4 linked regions of the Nothobranchius furzeri genome follow. The protein of the gene in region 1 interacts with the protein of each later gene in a biochemical or structural test. Links are inferred from orthologs where the notes say so. Each region holds a gene or a part of one and is shown in the gene's direction. Other genes may lie near its edges.

Region 1 (4,585 bases):
AATTTTTGGGTGAAAAACTGAAATCTAAACATTTTACTGGTACATTTTGTCATGAAAAATTGTTTAAACCTGCAAATTGATAATTTAATATAGATATAAACATGAGTTAGTTGTTTTATTGTTTTAGCCTCTGTTATTAGCAGCCATTGTGGAAGGTACTAAGGGCTTCAGACCCCTACTTTAGACAATCTGCTGTTTAGTATGAATACATTCACCACCTGTGTGTGTGGGGGGGGGGGGGTGGGGGGGGGGGCTTTGTCTTCCACATGAACCTTGTCTCCATTACATGAAGTTGTATTTTAGTCAGATGTTACAGGACTCCCATAAAGGGACTGAACAGCCACTACTATTTTACAGACGAGTATTTATCAGTCATTATTGTGAGTGCGAGGTTCACAACGGTGTGGCGAATAAAACTGGACTCGTCACTTTGCAGAAATGGTTTTCCCGTGTGTCTCATGGATGGGATGCTAATAATTTTTTGGGATGAGTTGGAATATAATTCCCTCCGAATGTGAACGCTGACTTTGAAGGAAGAAAGTATTTACGTTGGCATAACTTTGTAGCTTCCCAATTGTAAATGGAACTTAATAGCAGCAACACTGAGTGTTTTTCTGTTTGTGTGTTCATGTCACCGAATAGAAATTTTGACCCACATGCTTTTCGCTAGATTAAATCAGCACCTAGCCTATTTCCCGAGGGACGGTGATTCGGCTCAGCATTGAAAATCTTCCAGCCGCAGAGGACCAATTAGCTTTATCGTGGATCGGTTTGTGCATCACGTGTGTGTAATGGAAAGCTTTCGTGTGAAACACAGCCTGCCTGTTAACTAAAATTAGCCTCCTGCAAATTACATTATCTGGTCTATTTTCTGGCAAAAACAAAAGGGCCTTATTCAGTGCTGTAAGTGCGTGCCAGATCAATTTCAATCAGGTGTGCATTTCATAGCTGTGGGTTTTTAAGCTGTTCATTTGGTCGTCTGGCTGCTCACATGTCATCTAAATGTATTTCAACTTACTGAGGTGCAGTTTGCAACAAAGATTGGTGATATAAATTTATGGCATATGAATGGGAGATGAAATCTGTTTTTTGAGGCATCGCGGTTTTTCTAAATCGATTTTGTTTATGTTTATTTACCGCAATGTTGAGCAACATAAGGTGGAACAGGAAGTACAGCACAGACTTTAAAAAAATTTTTTTATAAGCACATAATGGAGGCACAATTTGCAGTGGCGTGTCCAGGCCTTTTAAAATGGGTGGCTCCAGTGGGGCACTAATTTATGCATGGGTGGCACCTATAGTTATACTTTTTGTTTTGATCTGCGGGGTTGTCACCCCTCACAAAATAATACATTTTTGCATTATTCTTCAACTTCTTGTTTTGAGGTGGTTAGCAAGCCACTTCTTGGTGCATTACCGCCATCTACTGGAGTGAGTTTGGACCAGGACTATGAATACTATTTTTGTCAATATGAAAACAATAATTAATAATACACAAATGTTCTGTAGGCCTGTGACTAGAAACTAATGTTAAAAGTCCATACTGTCGACTACTGTTTTAGGGGTTAACCCTTATTTTTTTGTGGACAACTTAATGTCAATTTAAGTGGAACTCATTGGGGTGGCCAGTCAGATTCCAAGAGTGGCAAATGCTGCTCCAGACCACTCACTGGACACGCCATTGACAATGAGCAATAAAAAGAGTGAACAAGTGAACATTTTAAACATGGCCGCCGAGCGAGACCAGTGTTGTGTCAAAAGGCCTTCCTTCTCCAAATATCGTCTGTTTTTCTTTTGTTTTTGATTCTGAATCAAGACAACAGCAAACATCATTCAAAATAATATTAAACCCACAACCATTTTTTGAATGAAAGCGGCCATTTGATGCACCCCTTCTTGTTCTTACCTTGAATCTAACAATTTTGTCTCATTAAGTTTTTATAGTGTAGTGATTTCAGTCACTTGAAGAATCAATAGCCCTGCTTTGATTCAGCGGTGGTCACATTAGCCGAAATGGCACTGTAAAATGTCTGAATCAGTGTGTGGGATGGGGGTGGGGGGATGGCTGAGCTCTGACTCTTTCCTGTGTAGTCATTTGAGTGGGCGAGTCCTATTTCGTTTGTTCAGCAGCCAATAGGACGCTTGCATTGCACTGGCTGGGCTGAGACAGCCTGTTGAATGCTCCAGCTGCGCTGGCCTCTGCAGACATGTTTCAGTTTTGGGAAAAGGGATTTTTACGTTTAACAAACCCAGCATGAGGCTGATCCACCTCCTGTCTCCTGCAGGGTGAGCTCGGAGCGCAGGAAGGAGAAATCAAGGGATGCAGCAAGATGCCGCCGTGGGAAGGAGTCGGAGGTGTTCTATGAGCTGGCCAAGCAGCTGCCTCTCCCCCACAGCACCAGCTCAAGCCTGGACAAGGCCTCCATCATGAGGCTGACCATCAGCTACCTGCGCATGAGGAACCTTCTCTGCAGTGGTCAGCATCTGTAGCGACAGATGATTATAAACCATTCCACTGCTCTGTTAACCATGTACCTGCAGTATGCTTGTCATATTTGTTATCTTGTTGACTTCAGAGTAATTCACTTCATTTACATGTAGCCTATAGTGGAAAACACAAAGGAGGTACTGCGTATTCTGCCATAATCTCTCTGCAGAAACACCTGGGGCTAGAGGAGTGGTTTTTCTGTGTCTGCAGCTGTTTGAACCGGTTATTTGTCCTTTAGCTTATCACCCACCTTGCTCCCTCTCTCAATGCTCCAGATAAGCCAATGGAAGAGGGGGAAACTGAGCTTGATGTTCAGCTGAACGGGTCCTACCTGAAGGCGTTGGAGGGCTTCCTCATGGTGCTGTCTGAAGACGGCGATATGATTTATCTCTCGGAGAATGTCAGCAAGTGTCTTGGGCTGGCGCAGGTGGGTCTGAAGCAGGGAATTAAAAAATAAGTGCACATTTTTAAGCTTTAAATGAATACTTCTTGGTAGCTCTATTTATATATTTGTGTTTTAAAAGTATATTTCTGTTTGTTTGCCTTTGCAGTTTGACCTGACTGGCCACAGTGTGTTTGACTTCACACATCCCTGCGACCAGGAGGAGCTGAGAGAGATGCTCCTCTGTAGAACAGGTGAGCAGTGTTGCACTGAAGAGTACAAATGTGTAGAGAAACCGAGACGCGCACACACAGAGCTCTCTGTCGGGTGTGTTGGTGCTCCAGATGGTAGAAAGTCCAACTCACTCTGTGGTCAGCTCTGCTTAGTAACGACACAAAAATCCACTCCGGTTTTGAGCAGTGGCTGAGTAATCTTCCGACCTTTTAATCATCAATAACAGATCTTTGCTTTGCTTCTCGTTAGTGAGATAAGTTTTGCTGAATCTTCTCTCTGCTTCGGTTCACTCTTACATTTAGGACCTGTGTTTTTTGTTATTTCTTTGCTCACTGATACCGCCTCGGCTCTAACTGCTGGTAGCTATTTCCATTTTATCCTCTAGCTCACCACAAGGCCACAGCATCAGAGCAAATGTCTCCTTTTGATGCAAATTTTATCAGTTGGCAGTTTGTAGATTGTTGAGTTGGGACCAATAAAAAAGAGCAATCTACTGCTGGCTTACTCTGCCTCACTCTGGATTCATATCTGTTTAATTTTGTGATTCCAGGCTCCAAAAAAAGCAAGGAACCAAATAATGAACGGAATTTCTTTCTGAGGATGAAATGCACCCTCACAAGCAGAGGTCGCACGGTTAATGTCAAGTCGGCTACATGGAAGGTAAAGAAGTGTTGAAGCTGTGGAGCATCTCGGGCTCCTAAATTAAAAAAGTTACTTAAAGTAAAAAATAATAATTACAGAAAGATTAAAGTTTCCCTCTTGGTTTGAAAACGTGTTTCTGTAGGTCCTTCACTGCTCGGGTCACATGTGTGTTCATGACCATCGAGCAGAGCAGATGGAGCCACTGCTCCCCTACCTGGTTCTGATCTGTGACCCCATCCCCCACCCTTCCAACATCGAGGTCCCTCTGGACACCAAGACGTTCCTCAGCCGCCACACCATGGACATGAAGTTCACATATTGTGATGAGAGGTGAGAGAATCTGGAGTCCCACGGGGACACCTAGTGCTCAGTGTGGGTACTACAACATTGTTTCTGTTCCCAGGATCACTGAGCTGATGGGATACGATCCAGAAGACCTGCTGAATCGTTCTGTGTACGAGTACTATCACGCTCTGGACTCTGACCACCTCACAAAGACTCACCACCACTGTAAGCACAAAGAGCATAGATCTAGAGTAAAATTGGAAAACGTCGCTGTTTATTTCGTGACTTTTGACCGTGTTTTCTGCTGTTTGCAGTGTTTGCGAAGGGCCAGGTCACCACAGGTCAGTACCGGATGTTGGCCAAAAGAGGAGGCTTTGTCTGGGTGGAAACGCAGGCCACCGTTATCTACAACAACAAGAACTCACAGCCACAGTGTGTCGTCTGTGTCAACTTTGTCCTCAGGTACTTGCACTAGTATCGTCATGTCATGTGGAGATATCGGATCAGAAAGTAGCATACTGACATCTTGTGGTTGTCCAACAGTGGGATCCAAG
Region 2 (4,051 bases), on another chromosome or scaffold:
CATGAACAATAGAATTGGCTTTAAAGACACCAGCTAAGAAGGACCCGTGGACTTCATGGACCAAGGAAACACGGATAGGCCTGCGTCAGAGCCTTTTTGGATCTGAGTATCATCGGTAAGTTAATGAGTTGCTTTACACTATATTCAGTCAAATGTGGAGTTAGGTTTCCATTGCTGTTCTGCTGACACTGAGCTGTGACTGAGCTTTGTTCTTGGGAAACCAGGCCAGTTTTAATCAACGAGTGAGTAAAGTCATAACATTTAACTCCAAACATGATTATTCTTGAGCTTTTCAGCAAAATGAACGTCCCAAGGAATTTTCGTTGAATAATAGCTGCTTTTTATTCCTGTGGTCTTCACTGAGCATCCTCTTCTTTGGATCTAAGTGTGACTGATCTTTTCAGAGGACAGCAGCTGCCTGGAAGCCACTGAACAACAATGAGCTGGAAGATGAGGACACTCGCAAAGGTGACCAGAGAGGTAGGCTATTTTTAAATGAGTGAAAACTTGATTTGTAGCTGACTGGAAACATCTTTATGATCAGGTAATAACTAAACTTAGCCATGTGGAAGGGGAGGGGTCTAAGTTTTCAATAATTTGCTTTGGTGAGACTGAGTTTTAAGCATTTCAGGACATGTGTCACTATATGATCTGATTAACAGGACAGGTACATGATGATTCTCTCATTCTGCTCATTGATCAGAACAGATTCTGTAACATGGGGCTCAGTGCCAGTCCCTGCCCTCTCTGATTTATGAATGAATCATACGTTTGCACATCTGATGGATGGTTTTCTGTTATTTCTCAAAATCGTGATAGAAAATAAACCCAATTCCCCCTCAGACGATGATGTTGAATGACGTTGCTTTAAGCCCCTTTTGAGGGAGGAGGGCGACTTCATTTAGTTTTGATCTGAAGGTTGATAAACAAATGATTTGGACAACAATAAAAGACAAGATGTTGCCCTAAGGGAGGAGTTATCATTGTCAAGGAGACAATGCAACCTTATTTTTAAAGTCATTATTAAACAAATAAAACTGCGGGAGTTTGTAGAAACACCTACCGGATAAGTGCACATGCGATCCACAAAAGAGCTGGTTTCTAATTAATGGGGAATAGACGGACCTGTTGGCCGGACGGCGCGGACCCTGACAGGGGGCTATGCGGACTCCGCTATGGACCGACCCCGTGAGTTCTGACATGCCTTCGCTGGTTTTCCCCTCTACTCTGCCTTTTGCTAGTTAGTCTATTTTCATGCTTTACGCGGTGGGGGTGCAGCGTCACGGGTTGATGTTTAATCGCGCAGAGAGGCGCGTGCTCGCTCGCGTTATCACCGTCCGGCTCCTCAGGGAGGTAAATAAAAGCTTTTCCCTGCACGCAGCAGTGATGAAAGTCCGGTAGGTGAGCTGAGCGCTCTCTCGTCCTGTTTGGATACCGGTCTGCTGTCCCGAACCGAACCGACGCTCCGTTTGTTCAGTTTTACCACGATGTTTGAAAAAGATGCTGATCTTTTTTGCGAATGTTGCGGAAAACTTGTAAAGGTAAGAGCGCAGATTTGCAGGTGTGAGCCACGTGCAGCAGAGCTCAGATTACCATGCTGGATATGAATGAACGCACGTATACTTTAGGGAGATGTGTATTAATGCAGATTGTTGGTCTCCTGAACGAGAACACTTGCACCAAAAGTCAGGTGATTGTTTACCGAGGTTAAATGCACGTGACCTCCAACTTTTATCTCTAAAAATAGATGTGAGTAGTAAATAATATACCTGAAACATTTTGCACAAAGAGGCGAGTCAAGAGAAGAAAAGCTTGAAATAGTTTCACAACACTGTTAAGATGGTTTTTAATATGCTGTTTTTGTACAAGAAATAGGACCAGATTTCCTCTTTGTATCAAAGTCTTCAGGATTGATCTTCTAAAACGTGAGAATGACTTTTGATAAATGAAGGAAACTGTTATGGGGTGGATCAGTCCGAGGAGATTCAACTGTAGTAACTATATACATTCAGATATACCCGTTCAATAATCTTATGTTGAAATAAATTGACTGCTAGTTGTAATGGCAGCAGAAGTGTGCATGGCAGGTCTCCCACGTGGAGTTGGCATTAGCATAAATTTTAGGCCTGAAAGGTTGTTTTAAATGCCTGTTGTGTGATTTTTTTTCTTTCCTTTTTTAAAAGTCGTCAAACTTGAGTTGGCAATGTTTCGCAGTAAAGATACTACGGTTTGAACTTTATTTCTCCTTCCATTCGTCATTCTTAATAATGCCAAGAGTTCAAAGGGATGAGGAATAGAATGGGGCAGCGAATGAAACTAAATCAGCTGGACTGTTTTCTGGGTCACCGTGCATCCAGTCATCCATTTTTCCATCGTCTTTACCTGCTTGATGTGGTAAAAGGTCACAGGGAGCTAATTCTTGTCTTCAGTATCAATTGGCGAACTCCTTGACCGGTCACCAGTCAATCACATGTCCAACTAATTAATTCATGGGAAAAAGTGAAATATTTCAGGTCAGTATAGCTTTCAAAACTTGGACTCTTTATGAATTTCACTCAAATTCTCCATGAAAGCTACAATGTCAGATATGCTAAACAAGCTAACTTAAACATTTTTTTCATGCATATTGACATTTTAACATTGTATAGCTATAAATATTTTGTGCAGTTGGAAATAATGAGGTGTTCTCTTGCATTTGTCTAAATACCTCTGCCAATAACACAACACGGCCTGAAAGCAACTATTGGACCACTCATTACACATTTGCATATTTTGCAACAGAACACCACTGGTATGAGAGGTACTCCACTCAATATCAGAGAAGGAAAAACAGCTTTAGAACACACTACCAGAGTCCCAAACAGAAAAACATCATTTGAAATCATGTTCAACAAAAGGCTTTTGGACCTAGAAAATGGCGACTGGTGTTTAGCACTCTCTCGGTTATTCTAAACGATTTCATAAGACACACCACGCCATCAAATCAAAGTAATACTGCCGCCACAGTGGGCCTTATGAAAGCGCTATGGCATCATGACGAAGCATGAACTTTGTTGCCACCAAGCTTGGTTGTAATATTACATTAACTCTGGACGTGTGAATGAAGATTTTGAAGATTAGCCATGGTGCAACAGAGGGTGGTGTCATGATCACGTGTGGAATGTCCGCAGAGCTGCTGCCGGCAACTATATTGAAAAGGAAATTACACATGGGCAGTCAATTTTACTTTTGTTAATAGAATCAGCTGAGACGGTAAACTGGAGCAGTGCAGAGCACCTGGAGCTTTTCTCCATTACAGCTGGAGCTCAGATCACCAAACAGTTCACAGGGTGGAGGATAGATTCCTTTAGAAGCGGCTTGTCAAAAAAAAAACTTAAGCAGCCGAAAATTGATGAATTCTGATCTTATCAGGGGTTGGGTCGCGGGGGCAGTAGCCTAAAGGTTGGTTTATGCTTGACGCGTCCGCGAGGTCCACACGGCTCTGCTCGGAAAAGTTGCGTCATTTTGCATCATCTTAACAACCACGCCCCTCCACCGCACCACCGCACGGCCCAAAATTTCCGCAACACGCACCTAGGAAATTTTCTAACCACGCGGACGGTCGGACACGGAAAAACATGGCGGACCGGCAAGAACTACTGTAGTATGGCAGAGGTTCGTAAATACAGACATTTGTATGATTCAGCTCTCAGAGATCACCGTGATCAACATGTTGTTAATAATTCTTGGAGAGAAAAAGCTCGCACTGACGGAAAAGACGAGGACGCTGTTAAAAATGCTGGAATGCCATGTTGTAAACAGTAATTTCTACTTCTACTATGGTGTAGTGTTGGATGCATGCTGTAGAGCTCCATGCTGCCCCCTACAGTTTGGGAGAATATTGGCTCACCGCAGAGACAAGCCGCACGAACCATAAACGCTGCGAGTTGTGAAGCGCGTTCCAGCCGCGAGCCGCATCACCAAGTGGAAAGTGAATGCGTCAAGCATAAACCAAGCTTAAGCAGGAGGCTCAGACTTCCCTCTCCCCATCCACTTGGACCAGCTCCTCTGG
Region 3 (4,249 bases), about 9.3 Mb from region 1:
ACACTTAACGAGTGCACACTGCAACTACACACGATTGGCCCGCAACAGTCATGTGACTGCAGACTGTAGTCCCTTGTGTTAGGCCACAGTAATTGAAGCTTCCATATGGTATAGATCATATGTAGCGTTCACCACAGCATTCCTCCTGCACTGAGGCTCTACACTCACATCCAGATTTAAAAACAAAGCTGTGGAAAAACCATGCTGCATTCTCTCATCACAGAGTGTCACTCATATTTAACACTTGCTAATGATTTCTCTGACAGCAGAAGAATTTCTCTTGCAGGGTGTTTGAGGCAATTTATGTATTATTTATACATAAGTAGCAACATGCTGCAAGGATCCAAGAAGAGTATGTGTTTGTGTTGGGAAAATAACAAAAGCAGAGCAAATGTATAATTTATTTTGTATGGTGGATTATGCTACAGTACATTTCTCCTTTACCATTTCAACAAAAGACAACATAAACGCAAACATTTAACTATTGAGTCATGGAAATCCCTGGATATTTTTTATAATGTTAAAACCTTGCATGTTCCAAATTATCATTCCATGAGTCACTTGGCATGTTTTTGCCTCGATAGAACACTGTGTACTTTATTTTGCGCATTGACGTCTAGGCAACAGCAGTATGTGTCCTTATTTTGGTTCAGTCACTGATACAATTCACTTGTACGTGTAAATTTTTGCTAATAAAATGATCTGTACAGATTGTTCTGCTAGTGTTGTTAAGGCCGGTAAACACCTTCAGAATAAGATGAGAGTTAAACTGCTTCTTTTAAAATAATACACATATTTGGAAATGAATTAAATGAGCGAATAAACCCATGATACATTTCTATATACAATCCCCATGAACTCCTTGTACAGTTCATAAACATAGTGAATGACGAATGAAATGAATGAAAAGCTTTATTTGTCCCAGGGAAGGGAAATTAGTGGGTCAACTCCTTGAGTTTTGGGGCTTATTTAAAATATATTGCATTCAGTTTGCATTTTTATAGCAAAATAATTAAATTGTTGATTTCACTGAGCACAGCAGTGTAGACGATAAAATAATTATTAATTACACCCCTTCTAACGTCAAGCGTGACCCAGAGGTCACGTAAAGGGGTTTACTCTCAAATCTCGCGATATTTCAGTTGATGAGGGAGAACAAAAAATTGGGACAAAGTTACAAAAACAGGCGAGTTTACTTTATCTTAATAACTATTCTAACTACCAGATAACTACTTTAACTATTAACAAAAACACGACTAAACCGAAAGGCGGTGGGCTACTGCGGTGACTGTGACGCATATTGAGATATATATTAAGAAATAATGGCGTAGTTAGCCACTGACGATGTTATAAAGGTAATAAGTAGTGAGATTAACGCGCCCTTTGTTATCCGTGCCGATAAGTTGGGTTTCCTGAAAAGGTGTACTGTCTCTTTAAGGTCTCTCGGGCAGTCTGTTTCGTATTGATCAATCCACCATTTTCCAACACACAGCTCCGGCAGCGGGAGAGAGCAGAGAGCCACCCCTCTACCTGGAGAGGAAGCCCGGGACCGGGGGCAGTCATGGCAGCCAACATGTACCGGGTTGGAGGTAAGCTTTGGGGCGTTTGCGTTTCGGAGCCGTGTGGCGTTTTTACTCGGCGGACTCGCCATTACCCACGGAAGCTCGTTATGAGCGTGGCTCGTCTTTTAAAAACATTTCCGTAAGCTGGGAGAGCTTTGTGCTTCTCGCAGATGATGGTGAGGAGGAGGAGGATGGTGATGAAGAGCAGCGAGCGGTTCTCTTAAACATTTGCTTCTTTTGCTGTTTTCCCCCTTAATGAACCCAGAGAGCCATCTCGGTGTTCTGGCACACCTGAACCCTCCATGACGGTTTAGTTTATTTTAAATAACATGTCACGGGTTTTCTGAAAGTTTCACCTAACTATTGTTCTTTCTGCTGCCTCCTGTAAGGAACATCGTGAGTACTTTACTGGAACCGCATAGGCATCAATGCAAGGAGGCAGCCGGGACAAAAACTTTACACTACATTTAGTTTTAACACTTTAAATGTAGAAATGACCAACAAAATATTCCAGATTAAGCTTTTTGCACATCCAGGGAGTCTCTTAATACCTAATGAAGATTCTTGAGTCCCACTCAGGTAAGACAGGTGTAAGATAGTCACGTGGCAGTGTCCAATCGTGATCTTTTTGTTTTTATTTATTTATTTTCCACATACTTTAGTGCCCAGATTAGTGTCCACTCCTGTTTGGAATGATGTTGTATAGTGAGCGTTTCTGTGTTGTTGTACATTACCACATATTTACTCTGACAACTGTTCTGTAATTCAGGGATGCTGTGACTGTACTTGGCTCGGATACAGCATCAGAAATAGCCCAAAGTGAACGTCATATATCAAATTAAAGGAGGCCTACCTGCGTGAGAACAGGATTAGTCCAGAGAGGGGTAGAAAGTTAACAATTCAGTCACCAAATGTCACTTTGTTCAGTTTCTTCATGCCACTCAGTTTTATTGATGCGCTAGGTTTTTCAAACCAGTTGTGCAAAGATTATTTTCCTTTGCTGTTTGTTTATTAGCTGAAAATGCACATTTTGGAACACATGTTACTTCACTTTACTCCAGCAAGTGATATATATCAAATGGCACTAAACCACTCACATTTACGTCTTAAGTTGTTATTTTAGTAAAATATTGTTGAGTCTGTCTAGTAAACCTAGTAATAATTGAATTTGGCCAAACTGAACTGAAACCACAACAATGAACTCTTATTAATTGCTGAGTAAACACACTTTGGGATTATTTTTCTTCTGTTGTAATAATCTAGATTAAAAAAAGGCCAGAAATGAGGCCTGATAACAAGGATCCTTTCAGAGCAGCATCACAACAAAGAGCTGCCCTTGAAGAGATGGCTGCAATTTTACAAGATAATAAGAAGCATCCTTGGGCTTTGATGTCTTTTTATTTTTATTTTTTTAACTGTGCTGGCCACAAACCACTCATCTGCTGCCTGTATCACCTTTTTCCTTGTGTCCCCATCCAAAAAATATGTTGAAGAAGTGTGTCAGACCACCAAGTTCAGACCTAGTTCAGTAAATTGCTGAGTAAATGGGAAGAGGAACTGTACGTGGTGGTTTGATTTTATTATTATAAATTGTAGAAATCCAGAATTTTTATTGGAGGGATTTAGTCAGTGGGCATGCATCCTGAAATGAATGTGATTGGCTAATAAAGGACCATGCTTAATAATTGTTTGTTATACAGAAGTTGTGTCAAGCTTAAGAATAGGGTTTGTTTAATCTACATAACAGCTGAGGTAAAATACACACACACACACACACACACACACACACACACACACACACACACACACACACACACACACACGCAGCTGCAGCAGTAGGTTTTCTGTGACGTTTTGGGAAATCTCACAAATCATATTTTATTCCATCAACTGCAGCCCTGTCCAAACTTTTTTCCCTGAGGTTTAATGTAAAACCGCTATCTTCAACTCCGTGCAAACCACTCGAGCTGCAACAGAAAATCTGCACCTGTTCTTAAAACGCATTTCATTTTAAAATATTCTTTTATTTCCTGCATCCGATTCTGATCTGCTTGAATAACGTCGTTATGAGAAAAAACACCCAGAGTTTTGAGAGGCGGTGCAGCATCACATCTGATAAACAGCAGCTAACATGTAAAATGTCTGTTTTTCTTGATCAGAGTAAAAGTAGATTTCCTTTTTGATTCTGTCCTTTTTGTTGTAAAATGTATTTAAATTATTTGTGTCTACATGTTGAGAAATTAACTGTGAGAATATTAAGTGCCAAAACCTGAAATTAGTGTCTTAAAAGCCTTTTCGTGCAAGATTACAGAATTAGCTCTAATCTCTCGTTCCCAGCATTTGTGGAGCAGGAGTCCATTATTAAGCCCCTGTTTCTACTGGAAGCTGTGGTGACTCTGCTAGTTGGTATTTTTCAGAACTGCAACAAGCCAATCAGCAAAATGTTCCCCTAAAATGCATCCACCCACTGGTCACTTTATTAGGTACAGCTTACTGGAGGCAGATGCCTTCAGAAATGAATTCTACAAGATTATAGATGCATTTCTCAGAGTCCATGTTGGTCCAAATTAACATGACTGCATCACATAGCAACATACACGATGAATCTCCCATTCCACCACATCTCTAAGTTCTGGGGCCTCATTTATCAGGCTTGCTTACGCACAAAACGGGGTCGGAAAACTGCG
Region 4 (4,099 bases), on another chromosome or scaffold:
TTTTCTAAGCACACAACACTGTTACCAATATTCTCACTTCAGCCTAATGTAACAGTGTTGAAATAGTGTAGCTGTGCAGTAGTTTACATATAGAAATATCAGATTATTCATAAAACATACCAGTAGAAAGCCTGGAAATTGAAGGATTCCAAATGTTGTTCAACATGTGAGATAAAACATTAATTATTTTGTAGCGTGGCATCATTGTCTTGTCTGTAATTGGCCTTTTTTTATTAGGTTATATGTTTTTATGGTTGTTTTATATTGTCTTATTTGTACTTGTTGCCTGCTGTATTGTCCAGCACCTTGGGTGTTTGATGAGATTGTGGAAGGGACATTACAATCTTCTGTGCATTCATTCTGGGTCTTTTTAACTTGTATTTTTTTTTTGGTTCTCTTTTAAACACAGGAAAGAAAAGTTTTCTTCTCTGTGTTTAAAAAAGAACCAATAAATAAATAAATAAATAAATACAAGAGACTTTACAAATAAAGTGAAATGAAATGAAAATTCAAATTTTAAAGATTGTTTGTTAATCAGTACACAAGTATAGAGCAGGCATGTATGTGGCCCTCATTTGTCGCCCTTGGAGCAATTTATGTCACTGTCGTCCCCCCCCCCCCCCCCCCCAACATTGTATGTTCAAACTTAATAGTCCATTTTGACAAATTTTAGGGAGTACAAATGCAAGAATAAATATTTTTAGCATTTAAAAAATGTATATGTTGTGGCCTACAAGGACAGTTAACTTGCTGATTTTGGCTCTTATCTAGGAAAGTTTGGACATCCCTGGTATAAAATATATCAAGGCGTCAACTTTAAAGCCGCCTTTCACATGAAAAGAAACAAATATTATGGGATTAAAGCTCGTGTGTGTGTGTGTGTGTGTGTGTGTGTGTGTGTGTGTGTGTGTGTGTGTGTGTGTGTGTGTGTGTGTGTGTGTGTGTGTGTAACATAAAGTATAAAAAATACGGACGTTTGTAAAATATAGAATATTCTAAAATCAGAAAATTTGTGTCCATCACAGACATTTTATTTTACTGGTGCTATGTTTCGTAAGAGCTTAATTTCCTTTATTCATTCAGACAGAAACATATCAGGGATGTGCACAGCTGTTACCAATAACCAAATCAGTGTGTATTACTTATATATAATGGTGATGTGTTGTAAGTGAAATGTTTTATCATGTTTCTAAACAGTCCCCTTCAGTCTTTTCTTGTAGCACACTTGGATGACTTGGGGAAAAAAACATATCCCAGAATGCTCTGCGAGCCCTTCACCCCTCTTAGTTTTTGCATCCGGGTCTGTACTTCCTTTTCCTCCGTGCCTAGATGCGATGAGGACCTAGGTTTTTACGAACCTGAGAAATATCCGAATCCATCCTTGTAAAAGGCACCACCGAACCTCGTCAAAATGACCGAGCAGATGACAGTGAGGGGGACCCTGAAGGGCCACAGTGGATGGGTCACCCAGATCGCCACTACCCCTCAGTATCCCGACATGATTCTGTCGGCGTCCCGAGGTGAGGCTTCCCCCGCCGGCAGCCGCCAACATGGCTACAGCTAGCTTTGTAAGCTAGCAGTGACTCTTTGGTAATGTTACAAAAATACGATTTTTGCGGAAGTGGCAGAAGACCGCTGAAATGTGATTACAACAGCCTAAAGGCTCATTAATCGCTTATAGTGAACATTTGCGACTTCAGAAGTGGAGGAAACCTGGTGTAGTTAAACTTGTGCTTTCTAGCGTCATTAGCTGGATCTACTGTGTTTCACTCCTGGGTTTACACCAACATAGCACCGACACTGATTCATCCAGTTAAACATCAGACTACTTGACATGAGGTTATAAGGCCTTGAACCAAGCGCTGCAATGTGATATTAACTTGATATTAACTTAAGTGCTAGCTTCGCATGCTAATGCTACCTACCTGCTCTTTGCTTTAGGCAATACTCCTGAGTCCTGAACCTTATGTGTTAAACTTTCAGACAAGTCCATCATCATGTGGAAGCTGACTCGTGACGAGACCAACTATGGGATCCCTCAGCGCTCTCTGAGGGGCCACTCTCACTTTGTAAGTGATGTTGTCATCTCCTCGGATGGACAGTTTGCTCTCTCAGGCGCCTGGGACGGCTCCCTCCGACTGTGGGACCTCACCACGTAAGTACAGCTAGGAAGAAAGCTTCTACATCAGATCCGCTGTCCTGTAAATATATCTCTTTACCCGTTTACCTGCTCCCAACATATTTAAATGTGTGAGAGCATCTAGAGAAGTCAACTTAGGAAGGTTGTGATGAAATCAGTTAATCTGGGTCCTTTAGAGCAGGAAACGTGTGGAACTTGCAGGATGGTACCCCTCAAGGAAAAAAGTTGCTGACCCTTGATCTGCATCATCTAAGCATCTATGTGGAACACAGTTTAAACTAGTTAATGCTTTTCTTTTTAGAAATAAGTAAGTTGGTAAAGACTTGCATGTTTGTATTAGCTGGAAGTATGTCCTTTCTAAATTTAAGTTGTAACAAACATCCTGGATAGTTTTAAAGATATGATTTGTCACCTTTGTTCTATAAATGAAAATGTGTTTGAACCGATGTTAACACACAGTCCGCGCTAATGCGTATTTGTTACTAGAGCTACAAACATTTCAGCACTTATGACCTCTAAATACCAAGTTGCCAGGGAACATAACTTAAGCCATAAAACAGTTGGGAAATGACATCTAGTTAAGCTACACCATGTGTAAACCCAATCTTGGTGAACAAACTTCATTTGCGTGTACATGACCGTGCAACAGCTTTTTATACTAGTGTTTTGTACCACAGATAGAACTTCAGTAATCTCGCACTAAATAATAAACAGCAGACATTTAAAAATGCAGTTATATACAATTACAATGTTTGTCAGAGATCCTATAAAATAAATTCTCCCAGTTTCTTGTACCCGACACTGTTGTTCCACAGTGTTATTGTCCTTACTACACCTTCATCACTTTATACACTCCTTAGTTGTGACTTAAGAGAACAGTAGATCTAAATAAATGGGTTTGGGGTTTATACAGGAATAAAACTACAGTCCATGTTTGAACAGTTTTAATCATCTAAGTGAGGAGCTGGAATTTGATTCTGGCTAAAGTGCTGGAACCCGATATAAACTGAACCTAAAAAAAATTGTCATTGATCGGCATTAAGGTTTGTGTACTAAAGTGATTTGTTTGAATACAAGTGGGGAAAAAAACTGTTTTAACTCCTTAAATGACTGTAGCTTGTAGAGGCCATAATTAGTAGAGGAGGGCAGGCATTTTAAACTGTAAACTTAATATAGCTTTATTCTAATCGGACGTCTTAATCTTGTGTTTTTCTAGTGGCACCACCACCCGTCAGTTTGTTGGACACACAAAGGATGTTTTGAGTGTGGCTTTCTCTGCTGATAACCGTCAGATTGTATCTGGCTCCCGAGACAAGACCATCAAGCTGTGGAACACTCTTGGAGTCTGCAAGTACACCATTCAGGTGAGCTGTCACTTAATGCTGCTGCTGCTGCTGCTTAGAGCTGTTCCTTCTTTGGTTTTCATTTAGTTTTTGTTCAAGCTTTTTTTTTTTTTTTTAACTAGTTTTACATTTTCTGAGGTAGAGCACACAGCTCAGCCATCAGCTGGAGCATTGTGGACTAAATCTGTATGATGGTTTTAAGTGTGTAGTGTGTCAGGATCATGGAATAAGTCTCGGTGGTTACATGAGCTAAAGTGAGCCATTGTTGGGATGAGCTGAACTTTAAACTGTTCAAACTTGATTTTGCAGGATGAAGGCCATTCTGAGTGGGTGTCTTGTGTTCGCTTCTCCCCCAACAGCAGCAACCCCATCATTGTCTCCTGTGGCTGGGACAAGGTGGTCAAGGTATGGTTTACTAGTAATTTGCTAATGTTTGGTCCTGGTTAGATGGTTTAACTTAGTTTGCATTTATTAGCTGACTACTTGCGTAAGACAACCTTTTTTATGATTAGCTTCCATGTTGGATGTTGATGTTTGTTCTGTCTCGGGTGTGATGCCTCTCAGGTGTGGAACCTGGCCAACTGCAAGCTGAAGACCAACCACATTGGTCACACTG

Evidence for each region. The genes of interacting proteins can lie anywhere in the genome.
Region 2: the proteins of hif1aa (region 1) and epoa form a complex in vitro, tested with the Homo sapiens proteins (2 studies listed by BioGRID). The link is inferred for Nothobranchius furzeri from reciprocal best matches to the Homo sapiens genes HIF1A and EPO.
Region 3: the proteins of hif1aa (region 1) and mta1 form a complex in vitro, tested with the Homo sapiens proteins (2 studies listed by BioGRID). The link is inferred for Nothobranchius furzeri from reciprocal best matches to the Homo sapiens genes HIF1A and MTA1.
Region 4: the proteins of hif1aa (region 1) and rack1 form a complex in vitro, tested with the Homo sapiens proteins (2 studies listed by BioGRID). The link is inferred for Nothobranchius furzeri from reciprocal best matches to the Homo sapiens genes HIF1A and RACK1.

What each region holds. Positions count from the first base shown.
Region 1 is NC_091758.1:31,049,403-31,053,987, reverse strand, and holds part of hif1aa (hypoxia inducible factor 1 subunit alpha a), read left to right. Parts: intron 1-2,285; coding exon 2,286-2,476; intron 2,477-2,763; coding exon 2,764-2,915; intron 2,916-3,039; coding exon 3,040-3,124; intron 3,125-3,654; coding exon 3,655-3,764; intron 3,765-3,888; coding exon 3,889-4,076; intron 4,077-4,149; coding exon 4,150-4,256; intron 4,257-4,345; coding exon 4,346-4,493; intron 4,494-4,574; coding exon 4,575-4,585.
Region 2 is NC_091742.1:83,888,565-83,892,615, reverse strand, and holds the start of epoa (erythropoietin), read left to right. Parts: upstream 1-1,251; 5' UTR 1,252-1,519; coding exon 1,520-1,541; intron 1,542-4,051. UniProt on the Homo sapiens protein: Hormone involved in the regulation of erythrocyte proliferation and differentiation and the maintenance of a physiological level of circulating erythrocyte mass.
Region 3 is NC_091758.1:21,770,813-21,775,061, reverse strand, and holds the start of mta1 (metastasis-associated protein MTA1), read left to right. Parts: upstream 1-1,449; 5' UTR 1,450-1,561; coding exon 1,562-1,589; intron 1,590-4,249. UniProt on the Homo sapiens protein: Transcriptional coregulator which can act as both a transcriptional corepressor and coactivator. Acts as a component of the histone deacetylase NuRD complex which participates in the remodeling of chromatin.
Region 4 is NC_091741.1:97,232,498-97,236,596, reverse strand, and holds the start of rack1 (small ribosomal subunit protein RACK1), read left to right. Parts: upstream 1-1,299; 5' UTR 1,300-1,411; coding exon 1,412-1,520; intron 1,521-1,983; coding exon 1,984-2,155; intron 2,156-3,356; coding exon 3,357-3,504; intron 3,505-3,792; coding exon 3,793-3,888; intron 3,889-4,047; coding exon 4,048-4,099. UniProt on the Homo sapiens protein: Scaffolding protein involved in the recruitment, assembly and/or regulation of a variety of signaling molecules. Interacts with a wide variety of proteins and plays a role in many cellular processes.